Linked DNA regions of Diceros bicornis minor. The protein of the gene in region 2 interacts with the protein of the main gene of each other region in a biochemical or structural test. Links are inferred from orthologs where the notes say so. Each region holds a gene or a part of one and is shown on either strand. Other genes may lie near its edges.

Region 1 (3,749 bases), on a different chromosome or scaffold from region 2:
AAATGCAACCTTTATCAAATAAATTATTTCTGCATTGGGTCTGATTCCAGGCTTTTTACTCAGCTTCCGACGGTGTTACTAAGAAGAGTGAGAAGTCATCCAAGAAATGATTTGCCCTGGATGGAATATTACTGCTCAGACAACGAACCATCTGATTAAAGGGGGTTTATTGAAACAACCAATTTGTAAAACGTAAGAGAATGATTTTGTTGGAGTCCTTAGTACTTAATTTGGGTTTGTGATGACTAAACTTTTTAATCCTGTTTCTGAGCATTGCTAACAGGATATGCAGTCATCACCCAGTTGCAAGGCACGGTTCCAAGGGACATTCTAAAGAAGCACTCCCTTCCCACAAGTCGCCACACATTTCCCTCTGGTCCTAGCTAATGTAACACGCCATCCGGGGATCAGTGGGTGTATGCAGCAGTGGTAGGAGAGAAAGGAGGCTTGGTGAACAAGTATGTCCACATTGCCTTGGTTTTGCTGTGCGTGTCTGGGGTGGAAACTACAGAGCTCTGACAACCATTATTTTTTTTTGTGAGGAAGATCAGCCCTGAGCTAACATTCATGCAAATCCTCCAACCCTCCTCTTTTTTGCTGAGGAAGACTGGCCCTAGGGCTAACATCTGTGCCCATCTTCCTCCACTTATATGGGACGCTGCCACAGCATGGCCTGACAAACGGTGCATTGGTGTACGCCCAGGATCCAAACCTGGGTCGCCAGCAGCAGAGCACGTGCACTTAGCCACTACGCCGCCACCGGGTTGGCCTCTGACAACCATTCTTAATAAGACTTAAAAGCACGGTTTTCCTTTCCTGCAATATCCCTAGTGTGCACCAATAATACCAGGAAGTTCTTCGCCCGCCCCATCACCGCACTCTGACTGGGACTGGGTTTGTGAGGTCCTGTGGGAAGGGGCGAGAGAAGTGGGCCCTAAGAGGCCTTAGATTAAGCCGCATGCACCGGGCGAGCTGGCCGGACCCGCCAGGGGGCAGCAGAGATCTGGGCGGCCGTAGAACTGGAGGCAGGCGTCGGGGAGCCACAGGCAGAGAGAGCGAGGCGGAGACAGCGGCTCCGAACGCAGCGGTCAGCATCGCGCTTCCAGCTTGCTTTACGGCTGTCGAAAGATTGCTTTGCGGCTCCTCTCCCCTTCCGACTTGAATTACGGCTCCCCCCTCCTGTTCTTTTCGCCCCACCCCCGGCTCTCTCTCGATTTGGACCTTCTTCCCAGGGTTCTCTTGTGCTTCGTTCCCAGTTTCCTCTGCGCGGCTGTGGGTAAACTCCATTCCCTTCGCATTTAGTCTAGGGGAGCTGCGTGCGTTCGCCGCGCGCTGCGCGAGGCGCGTAAGTGGGAAGGGAAAGCGGCCCCGCTGGGGTGGTCGGCGCTGGGGTTGTGGAGCGCGGGGCGGCTCGGATCCTGAGTCAGGCGCCGGGGGCGGCGGTTGAGCTCGCCTGCGGTGCCCCCAGAGTGGCCGTGAGACTGGAGGCCTGTGCTGACTAGTCCAGTGGGGGTTCAGGAGCAGGGCTTAACTGCGAGTGGGATTGGGAGGGGCGGGGTGCAGGGGACTTGCGCCGCCACACGGGGCGCACGCACCAGGACCCGCGACGGGGTGAGGGCGGCGTCCCGTTGCTTGGGGCGGTTCCCTGCACGGGCGCCAGACCTTTGCTTGCTGCTTGTTGACAGGCGTGGAGAGCGCTGAAGTTTGTGTCGGTAGCTGATCGGAGTTGGAAGAAGTGGCTGCGGTTGGGCAGGAATTACCCATTTAAAAGGAATTTGACACTCAATTTAGACGCGTATTCAGCCTTTCTAGATGTTTTCAAAAAAGTGGAGATATAGTTCATATACTATTACATTCATACTTTAAAAAAAAATTTTCTCTTCTTTTTACTTTTTGTGAGGAAGATCAGCCCTGAGCTAACAACTGATGCCAATCCTCCTCTTTTTTTTGGCCGAGGAAGCTTGGCCCTGAGCTAACATCCTGCCCATCATCCTCTACTTTATATGCGACGCTGCTGCCACAACATGGTCTGACAAGCGGTGCCTCAGTGCGCACCGGGGATCTGAACCTGCGAACCCCAGGCCGCCAGAGAGGAGCTCGCCCACTTAAGCGTTTGTGTGGTGGGGCCGGCCCCTAATTCATACTTTTAAAGTGAACAATTCAGTGGTTTTTAGTATATTCACAAGGTTGTGCAACCATCACCATTGTCTAATTCCAGAACATTTTTGTCACCCCAAAAAGAAACCCCCAACTCATTAGCAGATACTTCTCGTTTCCCCCTAACCCCAGTCCCACTAATCTACTTTTTGTCTCTATGAATTTGCCACTTCTAGAAATTTCATATAAGTGGAATCATACAGTATTTGTCCTTTTGTGTCTGGCTTATTTCACTTAGCATAATGTTTTCAAGGTTCATCCATGTTGTAGCATGTGTCAGTACTTCACTCCTTTTTATAGCTGAATATTAATATTCCATTGTTGGGATATACCACATTGTGTTTCTCCGTTAATTGATGGGCATTTGGGTTGTTTCCCCTTTTTGACTTCCTAGACCCTTTTAAGGTGTCTACTCAGATGAATTGGATTACATCAAAATTTGAAACTTCTCATCAAAGACAACTCTAAGAAAATGAATAGGCAAGCACTGACACCTATCTGACAAAGGACTGATATCCAAGGTATGTAAAGAACCATTAGGGTTCAAGGCCTGGGACTAATCCTCTGTGGCCTGCCCTACCCTCTGCACCTGTGGCTTCATCTTCAAGTCATTCTTCTTTTTTCATGAAGAGTAGCATGTGTTTACAGCTGGGTAGTTTTATTAGCCCATTTCCTGCCAACAGTGTATGAGAGTTCTAGTTGCTTCACATCCTTGCTAACTTTTGGTGTTGTCAGTCTTTATTTTTAGCCATTCCGCTGGATGTAAAGTGGTATGTTATTAGGTTTTAATTTTAGTCCTTGATTACTCATGATGTTGAGCACTTTTTCTTGTGCTTATTGATATTTTTATATCTTCCTTTGTGAAGTGCCTGATCAAATCTTTTGCCCATGTTTTTTTTTTTAAAGATTTTATTTATTTATTTTTTTCCCCCCAAAGCCCCAGTAGATAGTTGTATGTCACAGCTGCACATCCTTCTAGTTGCTGTATGTGGGACGCGGCCTCAGCATGGCCGGAGAAGCAGTACGTCGGTGCGCGCCCGGGATCCGAACCTGGGCCGCCAGCAGCGGAGCGCGCGCACTTAACCGCTAAGCCATGGGGCCGGCCCTTTTGCCCATTTTAAATTGGATTATTTGTCTTTTTATTATTGAGTTGTAGGGGTTCTTTATATATCCTTTTTATATTATGGATATCAGTCGTTTGTGGTTGGCTATTCATTTTCTTAGAGCTGTTTTTGATAAGCAAAGTTTTACATTTTGATGTTGTCATATTTATCATTTTTTTCTGTTATAGTTATTGCTTTCAGAGTCCTGTCTAAGAAATCTTGGCCACCTCCAGTTTGTGAAAATATACTTCTGTATTTTCTTCTAGAAATTTTATAGTTTTAGCTTTTATGTTTAGGCCTGTGATCCAGCTCTAGTTTTTGTGAATGGTGTGAAAATTATTTTGTGAAAAATATTAAATTTTTTTCCCACATGGATATCCAGTTGTTCCATCATCATTTGTTGAGAGTGCCATTGTATTGCATTGATAACTTTATTGAAATTCAGATGTCTGTATAAATGGCAGTTGATTTCTGGACTCTCTCTTCTGT
Region 2 (3,749 bases):
CACTATTATCCCCAGGTACTATATGTAATCACTAAGTTAGGGTGATTCTACCTCCAGAATGCTTTTTGAACTTGTTCTTTCTGGCATTGCTCTAATTCAAGCCTTCATCTCTTGCCTGAAATATTGCCAAGAGCTTCCTGACAGTTTTTGCTGTCTTGACTCTCACTCTCCCGAAATCTATCCTTCATTGCCACGTGATAATGGTGTGAGGATTAAATAAAAACTTTATGAACTTTGAAGCACTCCACAAATATAAAGTATTGGTGGAGAAAAAAGTAGATCTAACCACATGACTCGTCTGCTTAAAAATTTTCAATGATTTCCCCATTACCTAAATAAAGACAAAGCTCCATACTTGGTCTTAAGCCTCTTCATAGCCTGAACTAAACGTAACTTTCCAGTCTCAGCACCTCTTACGACACTTTTCCTCCCTCATCAGACAATACTATTCCTTGACCATGTCGTTAATGTCCATGCCCACACTGCTCTGTTTATGTCTTCTCTCTCTTCCTCGCCTGGGAAACCCTATTGACTCTTTAAAATCGGAATCACAGGTCAAACTTTCTAGTAAACCATAAGGTTTACCCTCTCACAATCAATGCCTCTTTCCTCTGGAGTCCTGCAAATCTTCAGTAATGTACCACAGCTTGACTAATACTTCAGCCATTTCTTTCTTCCCTCCACTAGCTCTATTTCCCAGTTTAATCCATCTGCTCGAGTGTCCTCAGCTCCACCGCCTGCAGGGGCCTGGAAAGCGCCCGGCTCTGACAATTTGACTGAACCGGAGGCTCACAGCTATCTGAAGTGCCAAAAGCTCACGTTTAGAAACTTCAGAAGCAAATCAACAACAGCTCTCCAGAGCCACGCTATTTCCCAGGAGGGCTAAGGAACTACAGTCGCGGCGTCCGCCGGCGGTGCATACTGGGAGATGTAATCTCGGGCCAACCCCACTACCTCTTGGGAGTTGTAGTCCTCGATCTGGTAAGGAGAAGAAAGCTGCAACTCCCAAATTTTGAATTAGCCCTTAGGAGGAAAAGGAAGAGGGCAATCCATAATACCATGCAAGGTCAAGTTCCGTTGACCCATCTCTTAAGCTCGCGAGCAGTGGCTGAAGGGGCTAGAAGGCGGATCCGAGAAGGCCGGGGAGACGTTACGTTGACGCGGGCGTGACCCTGCCAGAGGTTTGGCGGGTTTTCCGAAAGCTGCCGGACGGCGCGCGCGCTGAGGGCTGAGGAGAGGTGAGACGGGCTCCGGGGCGCGTAGTCGGGAGCTGAAGCTCACCTGGGTTGTGTGCAGGGGCCAGAGCAAGGGAGTAGAGAAGTGAGGCGCAAGCGAGGGGGTCTGGAGTCCGTCCGGGGTCGAGCGCGCCCGAGCCAGCGGAGGGAAGTCGGAGCGCGCAGCCCGCCCGGGAGAGTAGCGAGCGCCGCAAGCCAAGGTGAGTGTGTAAGGCGCAGACCGGGCCCCTTTCCACCGCCGGGCTCGTCCCTGCGTTAGCCGGACCGGGCCCCGGGCCCTTGCTCCCCCGGCCGGCTTATGGGGCCCCTCTGCGCCGAGAAGCTCCAAGATGGCGGGGCGGAGCTGGGGCGTGCCCGGGCACATCGACCTTCGGACCTCGTTGTGGCAAAACAGCAGCGGACCCCAGTCTTTAGAGGTGGAAGCAACCTTAGACGGCTTCCTTTCCAACCCCTGCTTTATGGGCGTCGGCGAGGAAGCCAAGATCCGGGGAGGTGTGGTGACTTAAAGTCACAGCTGTTTCATGTCGGGGCCAGGGTTTCCGGATTTCTGGTCAGTCTTCTTTCCATTACACCGTGTTTTGCTTACAAAGTACCAAACTCCAATTGCCAAAGGGAAATTTTCGTTATCTAATGCGGAAGACCTTTTAGTGATGCCTAAGGAACGATCTGTAGTGAGGTTTGTTTTTTTTTAAACTTCTAAAGTGAAGTGTAATATGTATGTGGAAAAGTGCACAAATCAAAAGTGTACACAGCTCCATGAATTATTAACAAAATGAATATACCTGTGTAATCACCACTCAGGTAAAGAAGTAGAACGCTGTCAGCCCTGCAGAAGCCCCGCTTGTGCCCCCTTGTCTAATACTCTCCCCGCTTCTCCCCAAAGGTAACCACTATATTGACTTCTAACACCCTTGACTAATTTTGCCTGTTTTTGAATTTTGTATAAGTAATACTGTATATTTATATTTTTGTGTCTGGCTTTGCTCAACATTCTGTCTGTAGATTCATACGTCTTTGCATATAGCAGTAATTCTTTTTCGTTGTTATATTGTATTCCTTATTCATTCTACCCATGGTAGACATTTGGGTTGTTTTTAGTTTTTGGCTTTTATGAGAAAGGCTGCTGAGAACATTTCTGTATACATTTTGGTGCACATGTGTGTGCTTTTCAGTGGCTAATAATACAGAGTAGTGAAATTCTTGGGTCATAGCATTTGTCTATCTTCAGCTTTCACATTGAATACTACTTTTCCAAAGGTGTACCAGTTTACACTCAAACCAGCAGTGTTTGAGTGTTTAGTTGTTCCACATGATTGCTAACACTTGATATTGTCAATCTTTTTAATTTTAGCTATTCTGGTAGGTATATAGTTGTATCTTGTGGTTTTAGTATTTAATTTCCCTGATTCTTAATGAGGTTAAACATTTGTTCATATGTTTGTTGGGCCATTTGACTATCTTCTGTTGTGAAGGCCTTGTTCACATCCATTGCCTGTTTTTCTCTTGGGTTGCCTGTCTTGCTGATTTGAAGGAATTCTTTATATATTCTGGTTATCAGCCCCTGGTGTATATATGTGGTAAATATTTTCTCCGCTCACTATAGTTTGACTTCATTCCCTTCATGGTGTCTTTTAATGGATAGAAGTTCTAAATAAAAGTATAGTCTAGTTTTTCAGTCTTTTCGTTTTTGGTTATTGCTTTACGTATCTAGTTTAAGAAGTCTTTCTCTGTCCCAAAGTTGTGAAGATATTTGTCTATATTCTAAAAGCTTTGTTTTTCCCATTACACTTAGATCTATAATCTACATTGGAAATTGATTATTTTTCTGTGGTATGAGATAGAGATCAAGTTTATTTTATTCTATAAGGCTATCCAATCAATCCAGTACTATTAATTGAAAAGACCATCCTTTCCCCATTACTCTGCAGTGCCATCTTTTCCGTAAATTATGAAGGGAGACATTTAAATTTAAATTATGTTCAGCTGATTCGATATTTGGACTTATCATAGACTCACATTATGCTAAATCTGCCATCTACGAGATCTGTATCTGTACCAATCAAGAACAAATGGTCATGTCAAGTCTCTAAGAATGGAGATTTCATACCTGTTATCTTTTTTTTTTTTTTGTGAGGAAGATCAGCCCTGAGCTAACATCCATGCTAATCCTCCTTTTTGCTGAGGAAGACCGGCTCTGAGCTAACATCTATTGCCAATCCTCCTCCTTTTTTTTTCCCCCAAAGCCCCAGTAGATAGTTGTATGTCATAGTTGTACATCCTTCTAGTTGCTGTATGTGGGACGCGGCCTCAGCATGGCCAGAGAAGCAGTGCGTCGGTGCGCGCCCGGGATCCGAACCCGGGCTGCCAGTAGCGGAGCGCGCGCACTTAACCGCTAAGCCACGGGGCCAGCCCAATATCTGTTATCTTTTGAGTTAAATTTATCCTGATTGTTAAATTGTCCAGGTTGTTTTGGTGTGATTTAAGTCCATTTATTCTGTGGACATCAAGGCTTGT

The links.
Region 1: the proteins of RAD51 (region 2) and RAD52 form a complex in vitro, tested with the Homo sapiens proteins (6 studies listed by BioGRID). The link is inferred for Diceros bicornis minor from reciprocal best matches to the Homo sapiens genes RAD51 and RAD52.

Annotation. Positions count from the first base shown.
Region 1 is NC_080756.1:59,530,705-59,534,453, reverse strand, and holds the start of RAD52 (DNA repair protein RAD52 homolog), read left to right. Parts: upstream 1-1,254; 5' UTR 1,255-1,345; intron 1,346-1,645; exon of another isoform or gene 1,646-2,678; intron 2,679-3,749. UniProt on the Homo sapiens protein: Involved in double-stranded break repair. Plays a central role in genetic recombination and DNA repair by promoting the annealing of complementary single-stranded DNA and by stimulation of the RAD51 recombinase.
Region 2 is NC_080744.1:38,529,154-38,532,902, forward strand, and holds the start of RAD51 (DNA repair protein RAD51 homolog 1), read left to right. Parts: upstream 1-1,188; 5' UTR 1,189-1,238; exon of another isoform or gene 1,239-1,435; intron 1,436-2,036; exon of another isoform or gene 2,037-2,118; intron 2,119-3,749.